2 linked regions of the Oryzias latipes genome follow. The protein of the gene in region 2 interacts with the protein of the main gene of each other region in a pairwise test. Links are inferred from orthologs where the notes say so. Each region holds a gene or a part of one and is shown on either strand. Other genes may lie near its edges. The genes, in order: fxn and dapp1.

Evidence for each region.
Region 1: the proteins of dapp1 (region 2) and fxn interact in binary tests that used the Homo sapiens proteins (3 or more experiments, as listed by UniProt). The link is inferred for Oryzias latipes from reciprocal best matches to the Homo sapiens genes DAPP1 and FXN.

The regions. Positions count from the first base shown.
Region 1 is NC_019867.2:420,077-435,826, reverse strand, and holds fxn (frataxin, mitochondrial), read right to left. Parts: upstream 8,267-15,750; 5' UTR 8,167-8,266; intron 8,061-8,166; 5' UTR 7,965-8,060; coding exon 7,881-7,964; intron 7,819-7,880; coding exon 7,664-7,818; intron 4,744-7,663; coding exon 4,623-4,743; intron 4,514-4,622; coding exon 4,416-4,513; intron 4,001-4,415; coding exon 3,862-4,000; 3' UTR 3,422-3,861; downstream 1-3,421. Other genes in the region: serine/threonine-protein phosphatase 6 catalytic subunit, read left to right, coding at 694-789, 1,519-1,614, 1,677-1,742, 1,802-1,943, 2,009-2,088, 2,178-2,387, 2,718-2,966; ftcd (formimidoyltransferase-cyclodeaminase), read left to right, coding at 9,001-9,054, 10,016-10,199, 10,273-10,401, 11,606-11,694, 11,755-11,934, 12,853-12,990, 13,053-13,184, 13,257-13,318 and 6 more.
Region 2 is NC_019880.2:24,361,116-24,377,051, forward strand, and holds the start of dapp1 (dual adapter for phosphotyrosine and 3-phosphotyrosine and 3-phosphoinositide), read right to left. Parts: upstream 10,068-15,936; 5' UTR 9,795-10,067; coding exon 9,736-9,794; intron 2,770-9,735; coding exon 2,647-2,769; intron 1,651-2,646; coding exon 1,517-1,650; intron 1-1,516. Other genes in the region: atp10d (probable phospholipid-transporting ATPase VD), read right to left, coding at 12,508-12,700, 13,274-13,461, 13,566-13,670, 13,751-13,831, 14,397-14,597, 15,063-15,188, 15,278-15,354. UniProt on the Homo sapiens protein: May act as a B-cell-associated adapter that regulates B-cell antigen receptor (BCR)-signaling downstream of PI3K.

The sequences.
Region 1 (15,750 bases), on a different chromosome or scaffold from region 2:
AGCAGCAAAAGAGAACAGTGGAGAGAAAAACCAGAACCTGCAGAACCCGAGCCCATAAGGTGGTGAAGGGGTTCTGTGTGAGAGACTGGACAGAGAAACGCGTGGATACCACTAGAACACCTGTAGGGAGAACATGGTCGGTTCCACAAAGACAAGAGGCATCAGGAGGATGACCTGAAGAACCTTGGAAGAGCGTTTCCATGGCAGCAAAGGGGAACCACTAAGATGTGGTCGTCACTGCAACAGCAAGGAAAGGCGGCATGGATCAGTGAGATCTGGTTAGACTAGAATCTGCAGAAAACAAAAGACGTGGAGAAATAATGGGGTCGTCCTCAAACGACCTGCAGCAGCATGAAGGTGAGGAGAGACGACCAGGAGGTGCAGAGGAGTCTGACAAGACAATACTGTGGGAGGAGCTAGAACAAGCGCATCCGTCATCCTCACCATGACCTCTGACCTTTTGAGAAGGTCATGGAGTAAACACCCTGATGTCTGTTCAACATTCTCTGTTTAGAAACGCACAAAATAAACGGATGTCCTCTTTGCTCCATTTTATTCAGTTTCATTACATTTCGTCAGATCGGCATTTCTTCTTCAAAATGATAAACTAAAGTCTCTGCAAACATAAATGACCTCGCACTGCCATCTGCTGGTGGAGGGCGGGAAGCTATGACGTAAGGCAGTAGGTTGCGCATGAGCAGTGAGCGTGCCGCCATGGCGCCCCTGGATCTGGATAAATACGCAGAAATCGCTAAAGTGTGTAAATACCTCCCGGAGAACGACCTGAAGGTAACGGCGGGTTCGCCTACAGCCCCGGTTTCCCGTGTGTGGGCGTGGCCTCACCTCCAGCCGGCTGTTCGTCGGAGTTTCGGAGCTAGCATTAGCTTGCTGCAGCTAACGGTGCTAGCTTGCTGTTTGGGAGCCGTTATTGCTGCTAAAGGAGCACAGAAGGCTGAGCGTTCGTGGACTTTCCGGCTTCGTAACATTCCGTCCGTTTATTTAAAGCTGGAATCGGACTTTTTACGTTAAAACTGTTTGTTTACGTTCAGAGGAGCTGCCCGATCTGCTGCCTGAAGAAAATGATTCAAAGAGCTCTTCTGACGTCATTGTGTCTATTTACCCCGAAATCTTTAAACATCTGAATGCCTTTAAAGCCAAAGCAAACCCTCTGTTTACTCTCTTCCCAAAACATTGAAGTTACCATGGAGAGTTCCCTTAGTGACGTCACTCTGGGGCGGAGCCGTCGATTATTCCCAGTGTTTTATCTCAGCTTCCGGTTAGGCTCTGAGTAGTTTTGGGGTTTAGGACTGCAGTAGTATCTTATAAAACATTTTCACAACTGAAAGTGTCAATGTTTGATCCGTTTGTCTTTTATGCTTGAAAGAAAGTAATGTGTGAGAAAAAGTTCTGTCCCGTCTTCCTGCACCGATCCGGCGTGTTGCAGATGTTCTGTAAACGATGGCAGCAGTTGTAAACTTTTCCTTCACCCGTCTGAGGCTGACGCCCCTTTCTCTACAGAGATTATGTGACTACGTTTGCGATCTTCTCCTGGAGGAGTCCAACGTCCAACCCGTGTCCACTCCGGTGACGGTGTGCGGCGACATTCACGGACAGGTAAGGCGGTCACCTGCTGCTGCAGCGTCTAGCCTCCGCTGGTCTGACTCTGTCTGTCTCAGTTCTACGACCTCTGCGAGCTGTTCCGGACCGGCGGCCAGGTTCCCGACACCAACTACATCTTCATGGTGAGTTCACGCGGGCTCCTGAGCCTTTGTGGGCGGAGCTCCTGACATGTGCTCTGCAGGGCGACTTCGTGGACAGAGGCTACTACAGCCTGGAGACGTTCACGTACCTGCTGGTGCTCAAGGCCAAGTGGCCCGACCGCATCACGCTTCTGCGTGGAAACCATGAAAGCAGACAGATCACGCAAGTTTACGGCTTCTACGGTGAGGTCAGAGGGATCATCAGCCGCTACGTAACGGATTTGCTGAGGATTTGTTTCTTCTTGCAGATGAGTGTCAGACCAAATATGGGAACGCCAACGCGTGGCGCTACTGCACCAAAGTGTTCGACATGCTAACGGTGGCAGCGGTTCGTACAAACGTTCCTTCTCTGTTTTACGTCCAGAATGAACAGGTCTGAGCTCCTCCTCACCTTCCTCCTCGTCTTCCTCCTCCCAGCTGATGGACGAGCAGGTCCTGTGCGTGCACGGCGGCCTCTCCCCCGACATCAAGACCCTGGACCAGATCCGAACCATCGAGCGGAACCAGGAGATCCCCCACAAAGGAGCCTTCTGTGACCTGGTGTGGTCGGACCCTGAAGACGTGGACACCTGGGCCATCAGCCCCCGAGGAGCCGGATGGCTGTTTGGTGCCAAAGTCACCAACGAGGTACGAGTTTCTGCTCCAGAACCACCGGGTCCACCCTGCTGACCCGAAGAACCAGCACGTCCTTTTCTAAACCTTCAATTGAACAAAATCTGCCTCATAGGGTAAGGCGGGAATCGAACCTAACAACTTCTGATGAGAGGTGTCCCTCTGCCCCACAGCTCCCCGTCAATAATATTTATGATTGATATGAATGCCACAGCAGGCGGCGTGCTGCGGGCGCCACAGCAGGCGGCGTGCTGCGGGCGCCACAGCAGGCGGCGTGCTGCGGGCGCCACAGCAGGCGGCGTGCTGCGGGCGTGAAGCTCACCCTCCCCCTCTTCTGTCCTGCAGTTCGTTCACATCAACAACCTGAAGCTGATCTGCCGCGCCCACCAGCTGGTCCATGAAGGCTACAAGTTCATGTTCGATGAGAAGCTGGTCACCGTGTGGTCGGCGCCCAACTACTGCTACCGCTGCGGCAACATCGCCTCTATCATGGTCTTCAAAGACGCCGCCACCAGAGAACCCAAGCTCTTCAGAGCCGTGCCGGACTCGGAGAGGGTCATCCCGCCCCGGACCACCACGCCGTACTTCCTGTGAGCGCGCTCAGACGGATGACCACGGTCCAGCCTCCGCCGCATGTAGCCGCTCAGAGAAAAGACTCCGCCCACATGCTCCTATTTATTCCTGCGTCTTTGCCGTTAAAGATCTCCTGCTGGTTCTGACCTGCAGCAGATTGATGCTGGCGGCGTCGCCGTTCCACGCCAAACTCGTGCTGCATTCACTGACGCTCTGGCTTTCCAACATCTGGAATCTCTTCATGTGTTTTTAAATAAACGGTCAAAAATGTTTGCAGGTCCTCAAATGTTTGTTTTCTGACACCTGCTGGCCTCTGCAGGTTACTGCAGGTACCAGACGGTCCAGCCTGAAGATGGAACCGAGCAGAACCACATTTAGAACCTTTAGAACTCAGAAACCGAACGTTCCTCCACGTTCCTGCAGCCTCCAAGCCAGGATCTAAAACATTTGGGACTAGAAGTGAAACAGGTTTGTGATAAACGTCTGAAAGTCTTTATGAGGGTTCACATTAGACAGAATACCCCCCCCCCAGGGCTGTGGTGCAGCGGGTCTAGAGGAGGTTGCTGGTTTGAGACCCGACTGGTTTCCTTCTTCCTGACGTTGTTCAGCAGAATCTGAGGATTCCTGTTTCACCTCCTGACTTTGGCTCAAAGCAACTTTCAGAAACCGACGTTCTAGCACAGACAAGAAGCAGAACCGCACAGGGGAGGAGGAACCGTCTTTTGGATCATGACGTGGTTCAGACTCGGGTCTTAAAGTGTTGATTTGTCGGCAGAGCAGAACCTGCAGAGGAAGAGGAACGCTCTTTTCCCCGTGACGCGGGCTGCTCCGGAACATCCTGGTTCCTCTGAGGTGTTCTGGGATCAAACCTGGGGCTCCTTCAGCCGACAGTGGCGGAACTCCGCAGAGGTCCGTTTCAGGAATGAGGGAGGTCCAGCAGGTTGATGTTCCTCTTGAAGATGAGGGAAAACTCCTGGGACAGCAGCTGGTGGAGGCTGACGCCGTCGTGGTAGTACAGCCAGCGCTCGCCGCTCCAATCGTAGCGCTTCGGCCCGCTGCAACAGAGAAGGAACTTCAAGACCGTGTTGCTGGAATGTTCTGTGTCATGTAGAACAAACGCTTTGGACCTACAAAGTTCTGGATGAGTTCTACCCTCAGTCCGGACCATTTAACATCTGTTCATTCAAACCAGACGCCTGACCAAAGCACCGACTAAGTGTTGAAGCCTCTGAACCATCTGAAGCCCGTAAACCCCTCCCCCCACAGGGGCCCAGATAAAGGCCACTCCCCCGTCTTTTTTTTAACCAATCAAAGCTTTCCTTCAACAAAACTACAGTCCAGAACTGATCCTTCTGGACTTCCTGTCCTTAACTTGAATAGGAATCTTAGGGCCCAATCAGGCGCCTTGGGGATCTCTTCGTGATGAACGCCCGTGCAGCGTCCCTCCATCCTGCTGTCGGCTCGTCTCACCTGGTTGGAGAAGAAAGCCAGATCTGTTTGTTGGGCGTCTGTTTATTGATGACATAGGTGCCGTAGTCTCCGCCCACCTTCACCGTCAGAACGCCACTCTGGACACAGAAAGGACCGTTCGGTGTGAGCCTCTGATCCGGTTCTGTTCACTGATCTGGTGGTGGTGTATTTTATGGATTACTGGAGAAGCGTCTGTGTGTGACTCACAGAAAAAAGCACGTCCAGCTCTTCTCCAGCCACGTCCTCATCAGCCAGGTCCTCGAAGAACTCGGCCAGAGCGTCCAGAGTCTCCTCAGCCAGCTTCTCATAGGCGGCTTCAGACAGCCGGCTGTCACACAGAGACAGGGGTCAGCCACTCCACCGGGGGCAGTAGTGAGCCACAGCTACCAAACTTCTGCAGCATCTGCCTTCCTGCCTGCTTTTCTTCTCCTGAACTTAGCAAACTTCAGCCGTCATTTCTGTGGGCGTGTCCAAATTCCAGGGCTGCGTCCTCCAGCGGCCGGCGACGTTGGTGGGTCGGATGTTTACAACTGTGAATTTGGACGAGTTTAACCTTTAGAGAAATTCAGCCGTTACCTTGGCGAATGTCCTGTTGCCTAGCAACCGTGAGTAGTGAACCAGGCATGGAGCTCAAAATCTACCTGGCTTAACTTTTAATCTTGCAGTAAGTCTAAAAATTAGCTCCAAGTCCAGGTTCCGCTTCACAGTCCGCCATTGTTGTCAAAAAATCTCCGGGCTCGGCCGCAATGCATCTTGGGATATGGACAGCATAGAAGGATTCCCCAGACCAATCCTTGAATTTAGAAAAAGGCCGTATCCGTTGGATTTGGACCGCACTTGTCGCGGCGCCGTGACGTAAGCGACTTCAAATGCAGCCAGGAAGAACGCCGCCCTGAGATTTGGACACAGCCGTGGTTTCCACAACCCACCACCATCATCAATACTTTACCGTCCCGTGAGGGACATTTGTCCTGGGCCGAGGAGCCCACAGCTACAACACAGAGCGGAATAAACAACAGCCAGAGGCCGTTCTGGACCGGTACCGTTTGTTCATGGAACCAACACCTTCTTATCTCGGTTGGTTTCATGTTCAGCTGCTCTGAAGCAGATGGCAATAATTCAAAGTCAGAAGACAGAATCTGAGATGGATCACTGAGGATCTCATGACCCAGACGTGTCACGGAACACACAGATGGAGTTTCCCGTGTACCAATGACCTTCATGGCTGATTTCACCGTGTTGCCACTCCTGTTTTGGTTTGGAACAGACACACAGACCGTTTGGATGATGCCTTCAAGTCCTGATGAGTCAAAGGTCCACATCATCGGCCGCTGACACCAAAGAAACTCAGACGTGGTCAAAAGTGCCTCCTTTGGGCCAGACGGGCCCAGAGAGAGTCAGGGTTCCAGTTCAGCAGACGTTCCACCTGTACTCCCAGGTATTTAAAGGAGGTGAGCGTTTCTATGGCGATGATGTTAACGGTTCTCAGAGATCATCTCCTTGGTCTTTTCTCACTGAATGTAAGATGATAGTCGGGGTCGTCTGGAGAGAAATTAGACTCAGTCGGATTTGTGCATAAATTTGGATTTGTGCGTGATTTGTTACTCACATAATCCGTTTTGTGTATAAGTTAAATATAGGAAAATTCTAATGACCGAGCATTCCACTGGTATTTAAACGCAGCACTTACGGACGAATTTGTGAGACGTTAAAACAGTCTCAGGGTAGATCCGTGCGTAACTTTGGCTTCGTGTGTGCGTAACAAGGGATTCGTGCGTGTTTTTTAAAGATGTGTGTGTGTGTAAGTAGTTTCAAGCTGTTGTAATCTTAATTTGTGCATACGTAAATTGCATTTTGTATTTTTTTAACTTATACACAAAACGTATTATGTGAGTAACAAATCACGCACAAATCCTAATTTACGCACAAATCAAGAATTACGCACAAATCCGACTGAGTCTAATTTCTCTCTATAGGGTCGTCTCTGAGCAACGGACTACAAATGTAGCAGTGACTACAAAAGATCCTTTTCTGCTGTGTCATGCTAACATTAGTAACCCTTGTTCTATCCTAGGCACTTTAACGTTGGGAGATGGGTCATCTAGATCAGTGTTTTTCAACCTTTTTTGAGCCACGGCACACTTTAACCTTGACAAAAATCCCGCGGCACACCAGCATCCAAAAAAATAGATAAATAAAATAAAAATAAAAAGTTCAGTCTGTATTGATCTACAGTCCCTCCACAATCTCACATGCATTTTTGTGATAATTGTTGCAGAAAACGCTGGAAGCTGCAGCTGTTTTTCTTAAAGATGTATTAAAGATTAAGTCAAAAGATTCAAAAACTGTTTGATGTGTGTTCGTTGTTTTAAGACGTTAAGAGGAGAGACTCATTGTGCGCTAAGACAGTCACTTTACTGCATCATGGGAGATGTAGTGCCCGTAATCCGCCGACCGCAGAAAGACCAGCGTCTTTGAGCTTCATGGTTTTGTTCTCTTGTTCCACAGTCTGATACCAGATTCTGTGGAAAGCTACACCGCTAAAGACGAGCTTTAGCTGGTATTTTTGTTAGAACAGAGACTTTTTTGCGCTAAATCGAAACAAGGAAGTGAATACTTTAACCACTTCTGATTGGTCAGACTGATGACATGTGATTAAGCCTTCAAGAATGATTGGTGGAGACAGTTAAAGGGGCGGGACTTTTCCTTACACACTTATAGCTGCAGCTAAATCGCGGTATCCCGTCATTCTTATCAAAATGTCTTTAATAGAATCATATAAACACAAAGAAAAAATAATTTTATGATATTTCAAATTCTTAACTTCTCAGTGTTCAGGGCCTGTTTGGATGAACAAAGAGCTGATTTTCTGGAGATGGTAATTGCTTTTAGATCAGTTAATGAGGGCAATTTTTCACGGCACACTTGACCATCTCCCACGGCACACTGGTTGAAAAACACTGGTCTAGATCCACTAGACAGTTGGGTCATCTAGACCCACTAGACAGTGCTCTGAACCTTTTTTCTTCAATGATTTGTGATCTTCACTGGTGTCCATGGATTACATGAAATCTTTCCACCTTTATCCACCTTTGTCATGGTAGGGAGAACACCTCAATGGAAGGGGGGGTCATCTAAGATAGCACAAGGGTTAATAATGATCAATTCTGGCTTTCAATGACCGCAAAGCATTGTGGGATTGGTGGCACTCGTGACCCCTCCCACCACGCAGAGTGACCGCAATTTACCTGACCGGGCCCGGTTCCCCCTGACTCCGCCCCCCGGGGCTCAGGTGAATTCCTCTGGACAACAGCCAGACCGCGTGGGCCGGTCTGGCGGTTCTGTGTCTGCGGGTCGGCGGTTCGATTCCCGCCCAGTCCGGCGCTACGGCGGAAGTCGGGAGCTGGAACAAAGTCGGGATCAGAGTTTGGTTTCAGCTGCACTGTTACGTTAACCGCGGGTTACCTGCTGCCACGTGACCATGCCTCTCCTAGCGGACCGCGGAAACACCTTAGCGGACACGCGCAGCGCGCTGCCGCTCAGGAACATGATGAAGGTGATGAAGGTGAGGCGCAGCAGAGTGTCACCGGCTGCTTCTGCTCTTGTTCGTGGGTTTAAGGGACCCAGAATCCGCCTCACCGCCACCTGCTGGACGGAACCGGAACCGCAACAAAACACAGTAAAGAAAGATCAGATGAATGAGTTTACTACAAAGAAACAGGAAGTGGCATGGCAGGTCAGGACTAAAGACCTTTAGAGTCTTCCTCCAACCGAACAGCCAGAAGCTCCTGACGGGACTCTGCTCCAGGAGGATTTTCCTTCCTGGGGAGGGTGATACTCAGTCATGGGAGCAGAGATGGAGTTTCCTCTTCTGAAAGGCTGCCGGGGTTCTGGTTCTGCATCACCCAACAGTACTATCGGACTCCGGCCCTGTGGTTGAACGTTCATCCCAGCAGCTAGGACTCTGCTGCCCTTTGACCCTCTGAATCAACAGGGGGGGGGGGGCATGTGGGACCCTGAACTTCATCCCAGATCAAACATTCATGTTTGGACTCAGACATGTCTCCATTTAGTAAAGCAGAAAGAGTCTTGCAGCGTCTGCTCCACCGCCACCTGCAGGAGGAGGCGTCTGACCTGCGGGAGGAGGCGTCTGACCTGCGGGAGGAGGAGTCTGACCTGCGGGAGGAGGCGTCTGACCTGCGGGAGGAGGAGTCTGACCTGCGGGAGGAGGAGTCTGACCTGCGGGAGGAGGCGTCTGACCTGCGGGAGGAGGCGTCTGACCTGCGGGAGGAGGAGTCTGACCTGCGGGAGGAGGAGTCTGACCTGCGGGAGGAGGCGTCTGACCTGCGGGAGGAGGCGTCTGACCTGCGGGAGGAGGCGTCTGACCTGCGGGAGGAGGAGTCTGACCTGCGGGAGGAGGAGTCTGACCTGCGGGAGGAGGCGTCTGACCTGCGGGAGGAGGAGTCTGACCTGCGGGAGGAGGCGTCTGACCTGCGGGAGGAGCTGGCCAATCAGCTGCTGCTCTGTGAATGATTGGCGGAGCGCTGAGAGACCTGCTGCCGCCTTCCTGCGGTTTGCAGACGCCATGGCTCAGCTGGTGGAGTGTGTCCCCAACTTCTCCGAGGGTCGAAACCAGCAGGTGAGACGCACCGCCACCCGTCCAGACTCGAGAGGCCCCCCCCTCCTCGCCAAACTCTCTGATGCTTTTCTCTGTGAACCAGTAAGAAACCGTGGAAATGTTCTGATTGGGTCCAGACATCATGTGGGGGGGGGTCCATGAGCGTTCTCATTTCATCTGGATCCTCCAGATTCAGGAACTACAACCGTTAAGGTTCTGCAGGTTGTTGGTTCTGGTTCCTCCGCTGCCAAACTGGGTTCTTGGATCCTCAGGCGTAGCCGAATGTGGAATCAGAACTGAAACTGAGCTGGAGGTAAAGTCCGGCTTCACGTCCAGAACCACTGCAGTTCTTCTCATGTGGGGGTCAGAGATCCCTCCAGACGGAACCAGAAGATCAAGAACCTCATCATTCACTGTAGAACTTCACTGCAGGATTCTGGACTCTAGAATCCTTTCAGGGTTCCTGCCGTGAGTCTGGTGTTGAAGCAGTTCTCCTCCTGTACTCCCTCTGTTCTCCATGTTCTCCTGCTGTTTTCTCAGTCAGATGATTCTAAAAGGCGGAGCTTCAGCACAGATAGAACCATCGTTCTGCTGCAGACGCTCTGATGGGACGGGCTTTGGACTTCTCCGTAACCTTTGACCTTCCTTTCTGGAGCTGCTTTCCCTCCTCTGATCCATCTTAGCGTTCAGGTTTAGCAGAAATTCTGGTTTACCGGACCAACCAGCAGGAAACTTCCTCCTAGAAGGAGGTTGAAATCCAAACTGACGAGCCGGCTCAGCTCACCACTGGTTCTGGTTCTTTCTGCAGCACTGGAGTTTTTTGCGTGTCACCAAAGACTAACGTTCTCTTTTACATAACTAGAACAGCGACCCGGACCGGACCGGTCTTTGGAGGAGCGGGCCTCCTGCTGTGTCTGTGAATGTGTAACACCTGTCAATCATTGCTGGCCGTCTGACCGTCAGTGGACTTCATCCTCTTCAGGTGATCGATGCCATCTCAGCGGCCATTTCCGGCACCGCGGGCTGCAGCCTGCTGGACGTGGACCCCGGCGCCTCCACCAACCGCACCGTCTACACCTTCGTGGGTCCCCCCGATGCAGTGGTAGAGGGGGCGCTGAACGCCGCCCGCCAGGCCTTCAGCCTCATCGACATGACCAAGCACTCAGGTCAGTCTGACCCCCCCGTTCAGGCCGCCGTTGCCCAGCAGGAGGCGCTGAAGCTGTGTTACCTGCTCATCAGGTGAGCATCCGCGGACCGGAGCGCTGGACGTCTGCCCCTTCATCCCCGTCCAGAACGTCACCATGGACGACTGCGTTGGCTGCTCCCGCGCCTTCGGACAGAAGCTGGCGGACATGCTGCACGTTCCAGGTAAGGGGGGGTCCAGCACCAACGCGTTGGTCATTGCCCGGTGTCCAATCACATTTCTCCCTGGTCTTGGGGGTAAATCCGCCTCATCCAGGCGTAGAAACCCAGGCTGAATTTGATCTGCAGCCATTGGCAAGACTCTGAAAGAGACACCAGGATGCTGTTCCACATCTCCTGTGCATGTCTTTGGAGCCAGAACCTCAGAACCCAAAACCCAGCAGTAAAATGAGCCGTGCTGGTTTCTGACCGTCTGTCTCATGGTTCTGATCCAGTTTTTCTTGTGTTCTTCATTTTTCTTTCCAGCTATTGTGACAGAGAGACTCTTTGGATGTTATTGTGATTACGGCCATCAGTCATGATTGGCTTGGACTTCTGGCAGCCTGATGCAATTATTGGCCATAAGCGGCGCCCTCTTGTGTACGGGGGAACGTAGAGCCCCTTCCACCATGGCGTCCTCGACCCTCAATGCCATGTGAAAAAATATACTACAAGTGTTAAAACATCCTTGCAGCCTACAAGTACGGCAGGCTTGAGTGTCAGTGAACTGTGTGGCTGTCTTACCTGTTTCTGGATGAAATGTCTGAAGCAACAGTATTTCTGCTGAGATTTGGTTGACCTTTTGACCTGCTTCCATCAGTCAGTCCGTGGTTTAGGTCGCGGTCAAGAAGTGTTGTACAGATTTGTTGAGTCAAATTTGGTCCTCTGCGTCTTTGTTCAGGTTGGAGCAACTCTTCAAGTCCTCCTCCACCTCCTCCTCCTCCCATTCTCACATTTCTTCTAGCTTTCCATTTTTCAATGATACAGGTGAGCTTACCTGCTGCCTTTTACAGCACACCTGAGTGCTGCGTGTTCAGATCAGCACACGTGTGCTTCCACACCTTGTGGATCCAGTTGTGTTCGTTGGGAGTCCAGCTTTGTAATGAGGAGGAAGTGACCTCACAATCCTGGTCTGTTCAAATGTTTGTGTAGTTCCACTAATGATGTGGAAACAAGCATAACACATTTGAACGGATGAATGAAGAAGCCTTTTCAGTTGGACTCGAATCCTTCCAGAGGAACAACAGGAGGTTGGAAGGAGGTGTAGAACAGAAAGGTTGGCTCCTCCTATGGAGACCATGGACTCGGGGCTTTGAGGCTCCCTGTGGTTCCTCCCAGAGGAGCAGACGTGCCGGTTCTGCTTTGGTTCTGAGGCTCTTTCTCCTCTTAGTTTACCTCTACGGAGAGGCGGCTGGCACGCCGGCAAGGAGGGCGCTCCCGTCTGTGCGTGCTGGAGAGTACGAGGCTCTTCCTGACAAGGTGAGGCTGGGAAACCTGCCGCTTCACGTCTTCAGGCTTCATTCCCGCGTCTTTTCTTAGCTCAGTCGGCAGGAATGGACTCCCGACTTCGGCCCGGCCGCCTTCGTGCCGTCGTGGGGCGCCACGGTGACCGGCGCGCGGAAGTTCCTCATCGCGTACAACGTGAACCTGATCAGCACCAAGGAGCAGGCTCACCGTGTGGCGCTGGACATCCGGGAGCAGGGCCGGGGCCAGAACCAGGTGCATGCTGGGAGTCAACTGCTGTTAACTGTTGTTCTGTACAAGATTCCACAAACTTCAGGAATCTTTCCTGCTGAAGAGATTCCACTGACGGGCTGTCACCATGGCAACAGAGGAGACCTGATTCCCATTGAAGATCTATAAAGGCCCAATAGGGCGCCACCTGCAGTCAGACTGTGGTTATAGCGTAGGTTCATTTTAGGAGCCCTTGGTGGCTCTAGTTCTCTAGTGCCGTCAGTGAGCCCCCCCACATGCAGGGTAAAGGGGTGTGGGGGTTTCTGGACATGGACAACCTCAGGGCTTCCCGTCCATCTCCAGACATCTCTGTGCCGTTGTGTCCGTTATCGTTAGAGCCGTACATCCATGACATGGATAACCTTTCAGTTCTATGTAGATAAAAAGAACAGACTCACAGATGAGACAGAACCAGAACCTTTTGGTAAAGAACGGCTCGGCACTGATGACAGAACCGAAACCAGGTATTCAAAGGCTGCCGAAAGAGGGCGGAGCTTCTGGACGGCTTGACCGTGAGAATGTTATCATGACGTCTGGTGAGTCCAGCGTCAGAAAGCTGCTTCCACCATGACCCAAATCCCACGGTTCAGAACCCAGTCCACCCTGAATCCCATAGAACATCTGTAGAAAGTCTCAACACAGAACTATTTAGAAAGGAGTGGTCCCACATTCCAGCAGACAGCTGTCAGAAACTCCGTCGTGGTGACAGGAAGTGGAAGAGATTGGGTTCTGCTGACCCGCTTCATCCCGCCTGAGTTTAAATGAGAAACTTTTGCAGATAAACTGTTTTCTGACCCAACAGCCAGGCTGCTGGTCTTTCTGGTCATGACTGCAGATGTTTGTGGATAGAAGGAGGTATAGATGAGTGAACTTGCATCTCCTCCTCGTGTCCTCCTCGCTCAGCCCGGCCTGCTGAAGAAGGTCCAGGGGATGGGCTGGTACCTGGAGGAGGCCAACATCGCCCAGGTGTCCACCAACATCCTGGACTATGAGGTGACCCCCCTCCACGCCGTGTATGAGGAGGTCTGCAGGGCAGCAGAGGTGGGTGAGGCGTCAGCATGAGGTGGTCCAGGCTTGGGCCTCAGCTGCTCTGTGCCGTCTAGGAGCTGAGGCTGCCGCTGGTGGGCTCTCAGATCGTGGGTCTGATCCCTTTGAAGGCTCTGCTGGACGCTGCTGACTTCTACATTCACAGAGATCAGCTCTTCATCCTTGAAGAGGAGCACAAAGTCAGACTGGTGAGCACGGAACCGTGTGTGGAGACCCGATGAGCCGCTCCGACTGACAGAACCGCATGTTCTGGCCCGCAGGTGGTCAGTAAACTGGGCCTGGACTCCCTCGGCCCGTTCAACCCCAAGGAGAGGATCATAGAGTGAGTCTGATCGCCCACGCAGGAGCAGAAGGAGCGGGAGCTAAAGGTGCTGCGTCCTACATGCAGGTACATGGTGAAGGGGCAGGAGGAGGGGCAGCTGCGCTCGTTGACCCTGCGGCAGTTTGTTCACAGCGTTGGAGCTCGAACGGCGGCTCCGGGAGGAGGATCGGTCTCTGCTGCCATCGCTGCTCTGGTGGGAAATTCTCAAAGTTCTGACGGCGTCCACATCCAAGTCCTTATCGTCATCTTGCGTTTTACCTGTAGGGGGCGGCGCTGGGGGCCATGGTGGGGCAGATGACCTATGGGAAGAGGCAGTATGAAAACCTGGACGGAGTGATGAGGAAGCTGATTCCTCCTCTTCATCGGGCCATGAACGACTTCCTGCAGATGGTGGACGCCGACGCGTCCGCCTTCAACAGCTACATGGTGAGAACCCAGAACCTTCCCGCACATTCAGGACGACCCGGTCTGACCCAAACGGCTGTCGTGTTTCTGCAGGCGGCTCTGAAGATGCCAAAAAACACGGCGGAGGAAAAGAAACGGTACGGATGTCAGCCAGAAGGTGGCGCTGAAAGCTGCAGCACTTGGAGCCAACGTGTCAGTGGTTTTATGCTCCTCTGCTCCTGTCAGGAGAGAAGACGCCATGCAGGACGGCCTGCAGCAGGCGCTCGCCGTCCCGGAGGCTCTGGCGGAGCGGATCAGCGCCCTCTGGCCTCATCTGAAGGAGATGGTCGTCCATGGAAACATCAGCTGCAAGTCTGACGCTCAGGTGAGAATGATGCTGCAGGCGTGGTTCATGAAGCTCCGCCTCCTCCTCCAACGAGCACTGCAGACATTTTTGCTGAAATTTGAGTCTGGCTTTCAGACAGACTAGAGGCTAGAGTTGATGGATTATGTGCACGTTTCCTGTCCAACATAAATGCCACATAAGCTGTAGAGTCTGCATGCAGACCTTCAGGCCCCCCATGTGTGGAAACCATGAAGGTTCTGACGGTGTGTGCTGTCCAGGTCGCAGCCAAAGCTCTGGAGGCGGCTGCCTTTGGAGCGTACTACAACATCATGACTAACCTCACCGACGTCACCGACGAGGCCTTCAAAGCAGCGGTACGTACGCCCACATCTGCTGGCAGCCTCGCCTCCAGGCAGGCCCTGACCTCCGGTTCTGGTTCTGCAGACACACAGGAGAGCGTCCGCTTTGCTTCAGGAGGCCCGAGACGGCGCTGCTGCTGTCCTCCGCGCCGCTGAGACCAGGACCTGAAAGGCCTGAAGGAACTGCAAATAAAAGCTTCCCTCAAACGCGTCTGTGTGTTTGTAGAGGCAGCAGCCGGACCCACGGGTTCAGGAACCGGGTCAGAACGTCCGAGTGTGCCATTAGACAGCAGGAAAACCGGTATCTGTTGGAAGAGGAGCCATTGGCCAAAACCAAACCGATTAGACCCCAAATGTGAAACGTTTCTTTAACCAGAAAGAGGAATGTTCTTGTTTACAATCAGCTGAAAAACTTAAATCAGTTCCATTTTTAAAAGATTTTATTAACTTTTTAATAGAGAATTAATCTACAAATGTCATTTTAATTCCTCACTGTAACCCTTGTGCTATCCTAGGCACTTTAACGTTGGGAGTGGGGTCATCTAGACCAGTGTTTTTCCACAAGTGTGCCGTGGAAAATTGCCCTCATTAACTGATCTAAAAACATTTCCATCTCCAGGATTTCAGCTCTCTGTTCATCCAAACAGGCCCTGATAAAACACTGAGGAGTTAGGAATATAAAAGATCGTAAATTACTTTTTCTTTGCGTTTATTTTATTTTATTAAATACATTTTGATAAGAACGACGTACCGCGATTCAGCTGCACCTTCGGCTGTATTTTGGAAAAGTCCCGTCCCTTTAACTGTCTCCACCAATCATTCCTGGGGGGCTTAATCACATGTCATCAGTCTGACCAATCAGAAGTGGTTAAAGTCTTCACTTCCTTGTCCCGATTTAGCTCGTAAAGTCGCTCAGTTCTAAAAAACATAGCAGCTAAAGCTCGTCTTTAGCGGTGTAGCTTTCCACAGAGTCCGGTATCAGACCGTGGAACAAGTGAACAAAACCATGAAGCTCCGAAAACCGATCTCTGGCCGTTTTATGCACTACATCTCCCATGATGCATTGGGTTGTGAGAGTGACAGGGCACAAGGAGATCTGTTGTTAAACGTCTTGAAACCAACGAACACACAACCAGTTTTTAAATCTTCTAACTTAACTTTTATTTAATCTGTTAGAAAAAAACAGTTTCCAGCTTTTTCTGACACAATTATCTCAAAAATGCATGTAAGATTGTGGAGGGAGGGGCTGTAGATCAATACAGACTAGAGTTTCTCCTTTTTTTTAATTTTTGGATGCTGGTGTGCCGCGGGATTTTTTTTAAGGTTAAAGTGTGCCGTGGCTC
Region 2 (15,936 bases):
GAAGAAGAGAGAGTGTTGTTAGAGAGAGAGAGAGGGGGGATAGGAGGGTGATAATAGGAGGGGGGGGGGGGATAAGACCATGAAGCAGCATAAAGCAACAAGTTTACTGGTTGTTTATCATTACGGTAAGGTTCAAATGTAGTACAAAAAGGGCGGGGCCTGTCCACACACACTCAAATGTCATCAACACACCTGCTAGCTGCAAAAATGTCCACCTGTCGACATGTACACAAAACAGATAGTGTTCACACGCATACTTATGCCTTTAAACTAACTAGTGTGAAATATTTCCTTCAATCACGCAAACTATTAGTGGAAAGGGGAGCTAACACCTGTGCTCAGGTGAGTGTATATGTTCCTCTAAAATGGATGATGGAATGTGTAAAGAAGGAAGGAGAGTGCCCAGCCATCCCCACACCAAGACCCCCGCCGCAGCAGCAGCGGCAGCCGGAACCCCTAACGCCACACGGCAGCAGGCAGGGAACAACCACCCCCCCGGCGACCAAATCCACCACCCAGGCCAGGGCCAGCAGGACCGCCGCGAGGCCCCCAGAGCCAGAGAGCAGGCAGACATGGGGGGAAAGAGAGCACCTCCCCAGCCCAGCCAGGAGAGCAGCCCCCCGCCGCGCCGGGAGAGCCCAACGCAGGGCCCCACCCGAGAAGGGTGCTCACAGCTCCAGACGAGCACCCCATCACCACCCAGGAGTTCCGGGCATCCCCCCGCCCCAACCCCAGGTACGAGCCAGGACCCCCCCAAGGGAGACCCGCTCCGCACACCAGGCAGCCACCCACCCGGCCCATGGTTGGTCCAGGGAGGAGCAAGGCAGGGGCCCGCCGCCCCCGCCCAGGAGGGGGGCACCCGGGAAAAAAGGGGGCCCACAAGGGGTGTTGTAAACATGGCCCGACCAGGCTCGGCCACAGTTGGAAATTTGGCGGGGCCCAGCGCTCAGGGGCAAGGGCCAGAACCCACCCCCCAGGGACACGAACACCCCCGGCTCAGGTGTAATGTGAACCAGCACTTCCAGTTCCAGGCACCTTAACATTGGGAGTTGGGTCATCTAGACCCACTAGACAGTGGTCTGAACCTTTTTTCTTCAATGATTTGTGATCTTCACTGGTGTCCATGGATTACATGAAATCTTTCCACCTTTATCCACCTTTGTCATGGTAGGGAGAACACGTCAATGTAAGGGTGGGGTCATAAGGGATAAAAGGCATTTTCATTTATAGTTTTAAATCCTAAACGAATAATAAAAAACGAGAATTTATCAAATTAGCTGCTTTATTGTTTTGCCACAAAGTTAGTTGAATCGTTTATGTATCGATTCGTGGACCTGTATGGAGATGTGGTTCCATTCATGTGACAGGGAGAGATACAAATTCCAATTTTTATCACATTTGTCGGTTATTTCCAATAAACATCGGCTTTTTATGCAGTTAAACACATAAGCACCGACTGTGTCACATGGTGGAGAGGACCCCGGGGAGGCTTCTGTGGCATGGGGGGGGGCATTACCTGTGTCACTGCCCAGCAGAGGTTGGTTGGCAAAGTGGCTGACGAAGTCCTGGAGGGTGGGAAACTCGTTGAAGCCGAACTTGTAGACGCTGTCTTTGCGCTCCACATGAAAATGCTTCACAGAATCCTTTGCTCTGCCCGTCCCAGAGGAAAAAAAACGTCTTCAAACAACTGATGATTTTAAGACCAACGTTTGCAGAAAAACAGGATATTTAGGAGCAAAGATGTGCAAAGATTTGCACATCAAGTCCTGCATGCAGATTGATCATAATACGCTGACTCTTCCTGCTTTTCAAAGTTTTCAAAATAAAAGATTCATAAAAAGAGGATTTTTGTTTCCTAATTCTCATGGAATTACGACGGGAATGAATTTCTCCACAGACCCCTGAAGAGAAATGAATTTTTTACATAAAAGTGTTGCTGACCATCATAAACACTTCCTGTTTGAGGCTACTTTAGAACAAAATTTGGAGCCAGATCAGTTCATCGGGTGACCAGCAGGGGAGTGTTGCACATTTAGGTCCGTCTGCATTCACTTCAATGTTAGACACTCTAACTCATCCCAGTTCTAAACCTCTATAACTCAACCAAATGAAGGCTTGACCTTCATGATTGACAGGTGACATTAAAATTAGTAGCTTTGGATTCACCGCCATGGTTTGTTTTTCACATATTTTTGTCCATTTTCAGGAAAGTAAGGGTAAAACGATGTCCAATAAGAAATCAACAGGTCATGTGACCACAGGGTTTCTCCATCATTTATAAAGCTGTGGTATTTTGGGAAATAGCAGGCCGTTAATCCCGCCTTTTTCCCCTTAAAAAAAAAAGAAAAAAAGGGGGGGTTTTGCCAACATAATTTTTGTCTAGAATGGTGTTGACTGTATTTTAGGGTATCTAGCTTAATATGGGCCCAACACAAAGCAGCAGGTCACATGACCTGAGGGCGTGTCCATGTCAGAACAGGTTTTTTTAATGCAGCAAAGCCCAAATGACCATCTGATTCTGAAAGAATGCCCAGACATAAAACCCCACAAGAACACAGTTGTCCTTTTCATCCAGAAATACCAGCAGGAGCCTAAGAGTCTCTGCATGTCCAGTTCAAGCTGAACCTGAAAGAGCAGCCCACTGACCTGACAGAGAGGGCAAAGCAGGACGGACCCTCCTTACTGTTCCGGAGGAGATAACTTCCGTCCAACCCGTTGGACAGGAGGAGGGCCTCTGCGGCGTGGCGGGACAGGTCGTAGTGGTACCACCTGTAGTAGACAGGGAGCGGCATATGAGCATTCAATGGAGGAGTCTGATGGTTCAGAATGGAACAGAAAAATGCCTCCAGAGTCTGAAGATCTGATTCTGCCCCCAGGATCTCCATCACATTTTAGACACACCTAAGAAACCAAAATGAGTCTGCTCTTCAGAAAAATCAATCTTTAACCACAAGAATTTGAACTTTGGACCAGAATAGAGCGGCTGAATGAAGGAGAACCAGCAGATTCATGGACCAGCTTCAGCTTCAAACTCTAAACGAGCTCATGCAAAGTGACTCTGAGATTACAGGAGAGGTTTTTTTTTTTTCAGAGGTCGTTCTTGGTTTCTTAAAAAAAACAGAAAACATTTCTTAAACCTCGAGTCCAAATTCCAGCAGCAGCCAAGCAGGATGGACTGTAGTCCAAAGATTTGAAGTCACTGCAGATAATCTGGACTTTCTCTCACTCTGACAGAGTCCCCCTCCAACCCAGAAAAGCCCCCACTGACTGTACATAGGAACTGGACGTCAGCCATTGAAAATGACTCACTTCTGGTTCTAACAAAATAGCCAATTCACTCGTCATTTTCCACCATACAGACACCGCCATGTTTTTTATCACTGAAACCAACACGGCAGCTACCATAGTAAAAATCTGTGACCAAGATAAGTCATCAAACTAGTAGAAATACATTTGCACTAGCAAACTGTAGGTCCTCAGTAGATGAACCATCAAGCCCAGCGGCTTAATCCCTTGACCATCTGGAGATATTGTATCTGGACCTCGTGCCTTATGATTATATCAATGGTATTAAGATAAAAAACTAAATAATTCACTCTGTACACAGTTAAATATTCTACTGTTATTGCTGCATAGTTGTTGCCATAGTGCCAGAAACTCCCTCCATGACACATGGAGATGTTTTTGTACCAGAGGTAGTACTTCTTTCCAGAGGTCTAGTGTGTTGTGACAAAGGAGATTCCTGGTCATGGAGGCTGCTCTCATAGCCTGACCATTTCTACAAATACAACGTGTTGTGTGCTTATATTGTGCATTGGTAACGCTTTCTGGCTCAAAGATTGGTTTTCCCAGTGAGAAGCCATAATTTTGCTGTGTCTCTTGCTTTTAAAACGAATTTAGTTACACAATCTCTCTGACCTGGTCTACCCTTCTTCTTAGTTATTGGTTTTTAGAGGATACTACAAGAACCAGACAATGCTTTAATTATATTCTGATCCATAGACAAAATATCAAAGACATGAGCAAGATTTTTATGATTTCCATCTCTCCATTGCTTCTCTAAATGTCTAAATATTAGGGATGCCCCAATTCTGGATTCAAAACAGAACAGAAGTTTACACCATTAAATAGATTTAACCCCAAGATAGCTCGACATCACTTTTTTCCCCCAACTGTATTTCATTCTGATCACCTGTGACTATGAAATAGGTTTAAAAAAGCATATAAAACAATAGCTCATGTCTCAAGAGGTTAATAAAATTGTTGCATCCCTAATAAATATCACTTAAAAGTCCCACTCTGATCATCTTTTGAACTGTTTTCAAAGTGTTCCCAGTGTTCTTTTAATCATGACTGTGCAGTTTTTAGCCAAAATCTAAAGACCTGTGTCGTTTTCTATGTCATATATTCTGCAGGACGGGAGAAGATCATTAGAAATTCACCTCTGAATTGTGGGAAGGACCGTTTGAGTGGAGCAACCCCATCCCCCTTTCCCATCATCTATCTGTTTACGTGCTCTCTTGCTTGCTTACAGCCTCTAACAAACCCAACATAAAATTACCCCTGCAACAAAAATGGCGAGCAATATTAGAGCTCAGACAAAGAATACAAAGACGCAAATGGATCTAATCATCTGAAAGTGGATGGATCAGAATGGAGCAAGGGAGGGGGCTTCCACCTTTAGGATGTGGTGGAACCAGAGATTGGCATCATGGATGTACATCCGACAAATCTGCAGAAACTGCATGATGCTGTCATGACAATATGGAACAAACTAGGCACGTTAAGGCAGTTCTAAAGGCAACAGAGTCCAACCCGGTGAGGGGAGCTTCAGGCAAGAATGGTTACTCTCACAGATGAGTAACAGCTGTTTATTTCTCAATAGAAGTCATCAAGCAGCCCTGAGTCAGAGTCATTTGAATCTGGTGGTTTGTTCTTTTACTATATGGGGGGTAGGGGGGTGCCCGTTCTAGAAGAAATCCGGAGCTTCACTGCACAGTCAGAGGGAAGTGAAAGCTCTTCACTTGCATTAACGCTTGATCCAGCTTAGAAACTGCAGCAGAGTTTGGGTTTGAAGCACACGCCCACAAAACTACTGAGATGGATCTCCAAAGACTTAAGGTCTACGCCAGGAGTCTGCAACCTTCAACACCAAAAAGAGCCATTCAGGGCGGCTTTTCCTGAACCAAATGAGTAACCATCTCTGCACTTTTGTACTTTTCTTTTATCATTAGAATAACTGAACTTTTGCCTCTTAAGCATTAAAAAAACTTGGCAAAATGAAGAGAAGCTATTCTAGCGGCTCTGGAGCAGCATGCCGCTCTTTCATCCCCTGGAGGGGGGGGGGTCTTCGGCTGAGAACACGGACCAGAGTCAGTTATGGGATGGAAAGTTCTCCTAAAATGTTGAATGAGAAGTGAATGAAAGCCTCATCATTAGTCCTGCACAAATTTATCTTTATCGCGGTATGTGCATATCGCAAAAGACGACAAAAATTGCGATAAATGGTAACTTTAAATGTGCCAAAACAACCGTCTGGCACCTTGAAAAATTTAACGAATCAAATAAATCCCTTCATGCTGATGGATATCTTTTATGTTCGATGTTTGTACATTAGGGTCATTTGGAGTATGATTTAAGTTATGGTGTTACTGGTGACTTACGTTTATTGAAATGAAACTGTTACAACGAAATGTAAATGATGATGTAAATGATTGTTTTGCTATTTCTTCATGCATCGCAAGTTATATCGTCAACGCAATATTGATCATTAATATCGCAAATCGCAGGTTTTTCTCATATCGTGCAGCCCTACTCATCATGCAGAACCTCTCCGGGTCGTCTATCGACCAGCTGTTGTATTTTTGTGAGCAGGTCTGAACCAGGAGCGGGACGGAACCAGGTGAGCTGATCGTCCCTGGAGCGGGTCAGAACCAGGGCAGCTGCTCGTCCATGGAGCAGCTCCCCTGTGCTGGAGACTACGGTCGGCCAGCGGTAAACAGGAAAAGTTCATAACATGACTTTTAAAAAACAAAACAAAAAACTAACAGGCTGAGTATTACAAATCTAAAGGTAGACTTTTCTAAGTAAAGTTCTGTGTGACCATCGACCTGCGTCACCGCCACGACTCCCACCAACGTGTGATCCCAACAATGTTCTGACCCAGGCAGGACAAGGATGGAATGTCCTGAAGAAAACAGTAGGTTTAACGGCACCTGCAGATATGTTTGCTTTCAGCGACTTTACCAGAATGATTCATATGAAACGAGGAATTAGCAAACAACAAAGTCTCAAATGTGGTGAGACATCCCATAATAAACATGAAGCTTTAGCCCAAAAACATCCTGATCCAGATAAGAAAATAGTTGTTTGTTGCAAAAATCTATTGGAGAAGCGGATTATCTGCTGGTTAATGACCACATATCTGCTAGTTTTGAGGCCTCTGGGGAAATAGTTCTCATCAGAACCCGTTAAAAGACAGAGGATAAAAAATGAACATCTCTTCAAGAACTTTTAAAGTGAGTGAAATGATGCAGTTCCCTGGAAACACCAGCTTTTCCAAAGGGTGTAGCAGCTCCCTGTGTTTTCATTTCTCTGGGAAACTGATCCAAATGGCTCTGAGGGGTAAAGGTTGCAGAACCCTGTTCTAGCAATAAAATTGTTTTTTACAAGACAAAAGCACAGATGAGTTCCTATAACAAACAGTAAGACAGCCTGAGCTACATCTGCTGCAGCAAATGTGCTTGAATGAAAACACCAGTCCATTTCCTCTCTTTTAGATATAGATCTACTTTGGTGGGCTGTCATTTCCCCTACTAACTAATGAGGACTCTCTTAGTTTAAGATCCAATACAAAAAGTATTTAGTACAAAGACATATTTTTCTCATTAACCTCTGGACAGCCACTAAACGTTTTTGAACAATGTAAGATAAATAGTTTTAAAGGTACGCTTTAACTCAAAGATGAAATTTTTCCCCAAGACTTTGCTCTGCATTTGAAATGAGGGATGGTGCTATTTCATATAAGGAAGCGATTCTGTAGCATAATTAAAAATAAAAGTCAATACAAGAAATGCTTTTTCCTTTTCAAAATAAAGCTGCATTCATTGACTCAAAATTAAAATGAAAAACAATCCGCCAAACCACTTTCTTTCTTCTTCAATACCGCTCATTTTGTCTCTTAATTAAAACGATAAAGAAAATGGTATTTGACATTTGATTTTCAAAAAGTTCTCTAGTGAATATGTAGCAAAATTACATTACAAATATCTTATTTGACAATTATAATTAGACTAACAGAAATGCTTTTTATTTTCACAATGAAACTGCATCAAATGACTCAAAAATAAAATTAAAAATCCATCCTTCACAATGCTTTTTCATTTTCTACATCAACATTGCACATTCTGTGACATAAATAAAGCGTAAATGCAATCGTTTGCACCTCCCCTCGTAAAAAGTGTAGCAGAATTCAATTCCAGTCAGCATTTCCAGGACGGAGGGGGGGCCAAAGGGGAGGTGCTCACTCTTTGTCTGCGCTGTTCGCCAGATTGGGTTCGTTTTGGTTCTAAATTTGCGGTTAAAAATGGCTTATGCATAGTTTGGGCGACTTTGCGGTCGGTTCGGCGGTTTTTATTTTCTCATGGAAATATGTGTGGCTGTTGGAGTTCCGCTAAGCTTCTATGTACTGGAGCTCCGTGAACGCACCAGGCCGCGTGTGGGAGGAGCTACCAGCTAAAGTTTTTAGCCTGGTTGCTACATGGAGCAGTGTCTGTGTTTATCTCAATTACAATGCATGGAAGACACAGAGAATGTTGAGAGATCAGGTTTATTTATTTTGAATACATCCTGATTCCATGTTTGAGTTCGTGAGATTCTCCCAGAGAAAGTCTCTGCTTCAGCTCCCTTGATGGCGGCTGCTGTAGCAGTGTTTCCATCTCTCTCTGACCAAGTTTGAAAGCTGGCTGTGCCGCATTAACCCGAGAGGGACATAATAATACCAGGGGACCTGATTTATGGGGTCTATGTAAAAAATATCATATGGTTCAGGAGAAGGAGTAGGATTAAGCGAATATTACGTGCCAACAACATTCTGTGTGGCCAATGCCGAAATATGTGGGAATAGGACCAGCATTTATTTTGTCTGGACCGGATTGGAAACACAAATTCACATGATTGTTTGAACGGTTTCTCAGGACTGTCCGAAGCGGCACTTCTGTCTTTGAAAGCAGACTCGAAGGTGCTGCTCTGCGAGGAGACACGGTCCTCCCGAGTCCGGCACCTCGCTCACGAAGAACAGCCGGACAAACAAAGCGTCCTCCAGAGCGCCCACTGTCACAAAGCAGCCTCCCCTGCCTCAAACACGAAGCTACAAGTCCGGCTGCATTGACCAGAGACATGCTTCGCTCGCGCAGCGCATCGAGCCACAGAGAGTTAGCACTGACGTCATCGCCCCCCTCCCTCCTGGAAATGTCGACTTAGATTGAATTCTGCTACACTTTTTGCGGGGGGATATGGAAGCAAAAATGCAATCCCCTCTTTGCATTTTCCCTTTATTTATGTCACAAGATGCGCAACAACGATGTAGAAAATGAAAACGCATTTTGAAAGATGGATTTTTAAATTTATTTCTGAGTCATTTGATTAAGAGGAAAAAGAAAAAGCCAATTTGCTTTTTCATTTTCATTTTGAGTCAACAAAAGCAGCTTCATCTTGAAAATGAAAAGCATTTCTGTAGTGACTTTTTTTTTAAATTATGCTACAGAAACGCTTCCATACAAGGTCTCTCGACTAAAAACAATGTTATAGAACTATCTTAGCCATACATTTCTAAGTCTAACAGACTAAACTTAAATTCTCTTATAAAATGATAATTGTTTTTATTTTCTTCATCCAGAAAGCCATAAGTGAAGGCCATAAGCCATAAGTATGGCTTTCTGGCTGAAGAGAGCTCCAGGTTGCAGACCCCTGGTCTACACCAAGGTCATCAGAGTCAGATCCACTATCAGATGTTTGAGCCAAACTTTTACAGTGTCCCCAAGGAGGAACTCGCTGCTGGAAGAAAATTTTCTTATGGGAGACCGTCCTTTGTACGAGTGACACAAAGCCAGAGCTGTTTCCCACAGCCCTTGGTTCACTCAGAAAGGAGAAAAGACGTCAGTCGGTTCCTGTTGTGAAACACGGAGGGAGATCCTTTATGGTCTGGGCTACGTCAGAGTCTGTGCCAAATGTCCGAACGCTTGGAGTCTGTCTTCAGGGATCAAACAAGACAATGGTCCAAAAACAGGAAGCATCCCTCCTGCAAGAAAGACCCGTCCACCAAGCTGAGACGGTTTGAGATGTTTGTTCTGGAGGAGTGGACCAGAACATCTGCTGACAGGAGCAGGACTCTCTCCAGTTACTCAAGTTGGTCAACCAAAGATGAAGTGAAGGGTTTCATCACTTCAGACCTGAAGTTTCATCATCTGCTTTCCAAAGGGTTCTGACTGTTCTTCATTGGTTGGTTTCAGTGTCCACTTCCTTCAGGAAAGTTCTGACTGACAACCAACAACAGCGGTTCTGGAAAACCCAACAGAGAGGACCGTCATCTTCTGACGGTCGGTAGCACTTCTTCCTGCAGCAGAAGTTAATGATGAACCAACTCTGTTGTTGCTTCCTCAAAGCACCGCGTGCAAAGCCAGAAACGCTAAACTGTAACGGATTTCTTCAGCGGGGGGAGAGTAACGCGTTACTCACCCCAGACTCTGCAGCTCGTCCCCGAGATCCTCCGAGGACGCGTCGCTGTACACGCTCATGATGATGAGGATGAAGATGATGATGATGATGATGATGATGATGAGGGGCTCGGCCGGACCGGAAGTCAAAGCTGTCAATCACGGACACGCCCGCCGAGACGCACTGACTCAGGGATCTCCGTCCGCGACCAGAACCGCGGGTGAATGTAGATGGTTCGGCGCGTGAACTGCGTGACCAACTCAAGTCTGGTCGAATGCCAGGGGGAGGAGCTTATGTGAAGCCCGTCCCCCAACATTTCGTCAGCTGCGGTCCACACCTGCGTTCCGGTTGTGCCGGTTTCTGTCCGTTCACTCTCTGAATGTTCCTTTGTTTATTTTTATCTATTTGACATGAACCCCCCCCCCCCCCCCCCAATTCATCCAGTCCTGTAGGGGGGGGGGGGTATGGTGACCTAATACTACTGTTTCCTGTTTCAACAAAGCAGTCAGGGAAATTTCCTGGATGTCTGTTCACGTGCTGAGAAAAGCTCGGTGATAAGAGTGCTTTAATGGAGATGTGAACCCAAAGCAGAGTTCATTAGAAACTCACCTCTGAGTTGTGGGCGGGACCGCCCCTTCCCTCCCTTCCTGAGAGCTCTCTGTTTACACCCTCTCCCGCTAGCTTACAGCCCCTCACATTCCAGCGCAACAAAAATGGCAGCAATATCTGAGCTATCCAGCCGTAGAGTTTAGATCCAGATTCCAGCTCAGACGAAGGAAAACAAAGACGTACATGGATCTGTTTGACTGCAGGTGGATGCATCAGAATGGAGCAGAGCAGGAAGCTTGTGGCCCCGCCCAGCAGATTTTCTGTCAAAAATCTTTCTATATCAGAATGCATTTTTTTGTCTGCTTCTGATATCGCGTAACGATTAATGGATGAATTAATTTTCTTTATACATGTCCTCCATCGTCAGAATAATGCAACACGAACATGTTAAAAAAACCAAAAAATGATTTTTATTGAACTGGATCTTTAATTGATTTTTAAATGGAGTTTTTTCTACTTTGTGTTTAGTTCAGAACCAACAGTTTTAGTAGGAAATCTGAGACCTTTCATCCAATTTTTTAACATCAGCCAAAGGCTTTTCTACTTGAGCTCTCGTGCAAATAGTGGGCCCACAGGAGAGGGATCCCACGCCGTTTCTTCAGGCCGGACCCAATAGGGGCTGTGGGGAGGGGCACTGGCCACCAACCCAAGGCCTGGCTCCAGGGTGGGGCCACGGTGACACCAATCCGAGCGTCACAAGTGGAATCTTGTACTTCTTAGAAAGGTGAATATAACACTTGTGCTATCCTAGGCACTTTAACATCGGGAGTGGGTCATCTAGACCCACTAGACTAGTGTTGTCAAACTCTAGGCCTCAAGGGCCGACCTCCTGCTGGTTTTTCAGAAATCCTGTCTCATTTGCCGCTAATTTCCTGGATCAGGTGTGTTTAGCCAATCAGGAGCTTCAATGATAGATTGGTTAGAAAACATGCAGGACATGTGCACTAGACAGTGCTCTGAACCTTTTTTATTCAATGATTTGTGATCTTCACTGGTTTCCATGGATTCCATGAAATCCTCTTCACCTTTATCCACCTTTGTCATGGTAGGGAGAACACGTCAATGGTCATCTTGACCCCATAGGATAGCACAAGGGCTAAACCGCTCTTCGTCTGGCTCGTCACCCAGGACCTGTCTGCCATGGGAGACCCTACCAGGGGCAAAAGCTCCAGACAGTGTAGAGGTAGGTCAGGTGTCTGGTCCGGATTCCTCCTGGACACAATCCCTGGGGAGGTGTTCTGGTCGTGCCCCACTGGGGGGGTCCCCGGGGAAGACCCAGGACAAGCTGGAGAGACTAAGTCTCTCAGCTGGCTTGGGATCGTCTCGGGGTCCCCCCGGAGGAGGAAGTGGCCGGGTAGAGGAGAGTCTGGGCATCTTTGATTAGACTGCTGCCCTTGCGACCCGGTCCCAGATGAGAAGAAGAAGAAGATGGATGGATGTTTGTGTCTCACTTAAGGCTCTTCAAAGGCATTTGTGTCAGAAAAAACATGATCAAAAAACAAAAGTGAAATTCATAAAGCTGTTTATTGCAAAAGCATTGATGATTGGTAACTTCCATTATTCCACTAAAAACTTCTATTGCAGCATTTGTGCATGATGGAGTGGTAAGGTCACTTCACGGTTTCTCCTGAGAGAATGGGCACTGATGCCTGGCTCAGAGGTTCATCAGAACCCTGCCGTCTCATCAGAACCTTCCTGGTTTCGTTCCTGAATTTAACAGGACCGTAGACAGGATAGGCTCCAGCAGCCCTCTGACCCCCAAAAGGGATTCAGGGGTTCAGAAAGTAGACAGATGAAATCTGATTTGAACAAACTTCAACAATATAAAACATGAAATGGTCAGTTATTACAAATAAAAGTAAAAAAAAAAAAACAACGGTGTCCACTCTTTGAGCATTGTCCTGATCATCTTCACTTTGGCTAGAATGTTATTGAAGCGCTTTAAGAAGTCCGAAGCCTCGGCACCATGCAGCCTCATGGAGTCCAGCTCGGCGAGTAAACAAGAGCAGAGGCGGGTCGTCATCGTAACAGTCAAACAGCTGACAGCCATGTAAACACGGCCCGCCTGAGCGCGCTTCATCCTGGACTGCAGCTTCCCATCCTCCCTGCCGCTCATGAGGACAGTCCAGACCAGCTTTGGTTCTAAGAGCGGCAGGCAGGAGGGGCCACCGAAAACCCACATGGTCAAGACAGCACCTCCTCCCGACTGGGCACCATGCCGGGGTTGTCGGCGCACACTGGGAGCCCGGTTCTAGCATGGTTTTGGTTCCAGCGCTGCATCCTCCTGCGGTACGACTCTGAAGCTGCTTCTTGTCTCTGGTCTTTGGTCAACAGAGCGGAGGGGTGCACGGTGTTAAACAGAGACCGGAACAAAATCCTGCAAAGCAGAGCCCAGAGGTTCAGGAGGAGGTCCATCAACGGGAACAGCAAACACCAGACTATACGTGTCAAGAGGAGGAGTTAACAGAAAAACCGCTGAAGCACAGAAAGCTGCTGAATTCTCAGCATCAGTGAGTCAGATGATGTCATCACCCTGACCCTGCCTTCTATGACATCACTGCTTCTTCATCTTTAAGCCACCAATCAGGCCAGGTTGTGATCTTCTGTCCCAAACCCTCCATGATTCTCCTCCTGTTCCAGTTTCTGTCCGCCAAACTGATTCTCTCCTCTCCAATGTGCTCCAGTGAGTTAAACGAAATCCTTTTCACAAAATATCAATTTGACCCAATTAAACTAAAATTCAAACTGCATCAGTGTACTCTTTTGATTTATGTCTGATTGTTTCTATGAAAAGAGGGTTAAAACGTTCCTTTTATGGTTTAGCTTTCAAGTAATGTAACTTTTTATGGATTGTTTGAAAATGTCATGAAAAAAACATTTTCTATTTCATTTAGTTTGTTTCTTTTGTTTTAGTGATCACATGAACAAACAGATCAGTGTGTGTTTGTACCTGGGGATCAGGGCCGTCACTGTGGTGACGGCACAGATGACGTAGAAGAGGGGTGTGCTCAGCTGCCGAGGCTCCACCCCCAGCAGGTTGGTGGGGTGGCTGCAGACGATGCAGAAGGTGCTGAAGAGCAGCACGAAGGCGAAATAGGAGGCAGCGCTGAGAAACAAGACGAGCGCGTGAATCCATGTCTGCAACACAGAAAGAAACACACGATTGGTTGAAATCTGGGTTCTGGTCCATCACAGCACTGTGGTCCCGTTACAAGAACCACTTGGCTTCCACAGATCCTGACCAGCGTGTGGCTTTCGATGACTTGGTGCAGCAGGATGATGAAGAGAGCTGAGGTGTTGATCGGGGAGCCAAAGGACAAACTTTCGACATCTGACCCTGCCAGGGCCTGGTTGGAGAAGCAGAACAGATGGACTTGGATCAGAACCAGCGATGCAATGACCCTCACTGACGCTGCAGAATACTCACAAAATAAGGAATGAAGAAGCAAACGCAGCTTTGGTAGAAGGCGTCCAGGATTGTGATCCAGAAAATGGAGGGAACGTAGACCTGTGGATCAATTCACAGAGTCAGCCTTTAAATATCTAAAGCACATTCATCCATCTATCCAATGGCCTCCAAGCATCAAAAGCACATCCATCCATCCATCCGTCCGTCTGTCCGTCCGTCCATCCATCCATCCATAGGCCTCCAAACCGGAGGACTCTGTAACTAATGAATTCAGCATGTTGTTCTGCACTCATGCAGGGCTGGTTAATCCCATTCATCTGCAACATCAATTCTTTAATTCTCTAAATCTATCGTTTCCTTTGTGTTAAGTTTTAATGTGAGAATTATAAATCGTTTTGAAGAAATGTTCACCTTCAAATCACTTGGTATATTAAAACCCTTTTTTCCCCAAAGAAATTAGTTAAAGAACAGAAACTTGACTTTTAAATGTAATTGATTTCTGTTTGAATCTGTATTCTGTCAGGATTCTGGCAGTGATATCTGGCCTTGGTGTCATATGTGAAACATTACTGAGAAAAACCCTCTAAGGAGATTTTGAGGAACCCTGAACCCATCGGAACAGTTCAGCCATCGAGACAGCGGCAGCTTAAGAAAGCTTTTTCACCTTGGAGGAGCGTGCAGTCTGGTACAGCTCAGGATGCTCTTCAAGAGCGTCTGCAGCCGTGTCCTGATCCAGAACTCCATAGATGAGAGGAGGGACGGAAGTGAAGAGCAAGTTGAAGAGGATGAGCACCCAGGAGTTGATCATGACGCTCCCAGAGAAACCACAGAAGAACTGGTACCAGAACAGCAGGTTGACGTACATCTGTGGACGCACAGACTCAGTCAGACTGCACTTCTGTTTTCTTAGGGAATCTGTTACTGAATGAGCTCTGTCACATTAAATCGACATTTAAACTGGTTTGACACCAGAGGCGCCAAATTCTGCTCCTTCAGACCAAGCAGCTTGCAGGTTTTCATGGTGAATCAGCTGGATCAGGTGTCTCTAGGTCAGTGGTGGAAATAGAACATCTTATATGGGGGGGGGGGCAGGCAGAAGACTTTGGAACCTGCATTGAAGACTTTTCAATAAGTAGAATAATATTGACTCAAAGATTGGGGAGACGATTGGGGTGTTAAAAAAAATGAGTCTGAAATTCATTTCCAGGGTTAGAAAATAGATCTCCAGATGAGGTGATGAGGATGGCTTCAAAAAAAGTGACCTTCATCTACGCAGACAACATTTTGGTAGAAGAGGAAGCTCTGCGTCATCTGTGCACGAAGGACTCACCACATTCTTATAGAAGAAGTAGAGGATCATGTTTGCAAGGCGATGGTAGCACCAGTGTCCATGAACCAGCAGCAGCTTCCTGAGGAGGTGGAACCGGGGAATGGCAAAGTCACTGGACATCACAGCCTGGAGAAGGAGACATGCTGGTGAGGAGCTCAGGAGGAACTCAAGGTTAGGGTCATTTAAAAGTAAACACCCCCTCATTTTGTGATTACCTGCATTCCCTCCTGACCGGATATGCCGATGCCGACATCTGCCACCTGGATCATGCTCACATCGTTGGCTCCATCACCTGTGCAGCAAACCTCGTCAGACATTCGTACACAGACTGTAGGACTCTTCTCCACATCCGTAAACCTCATCCCTCACTTTCCAAACAACATAAGTTTTTGTTTGGTAGTAAGTTCTAGAAAAATACAGATGAATCTAATCTTCTGTGTTTTTGTGACTTTTGATGAGCTGCGTCGGCTTTGGCTCAAACAGTCTTCATGTACTCTTAGTGCGGGGAGTGACAGAAGCCTTCATGATCCACAGAAATGACTGAATTTACACAACTCACAACAAGTTACGGATATTTTAACGAGTCAATGTCCAGGTCACGTGGTCTTGTGTCCACTGCAAACATCCAGCAGAATCACCAGCAATGGTCGTCTGTCATTCCAGTCAAAGCGGTGAAGTCGGTTATGAATAGTTTGTCTGGAAACCCAACAGTTCCCCTCACACCTGGTAAACGGGCCTGCAGCTGTGTGGCTAAACCATGTCTGAGGTCAGAGGTCCTTAGGTACTGGTCATGGTATTAGACACAGTTAGAGCTACACAGAACAGGGGATCTCACTAAACTGCTTATTATTTATATCATGGTGAAAGGCAAACA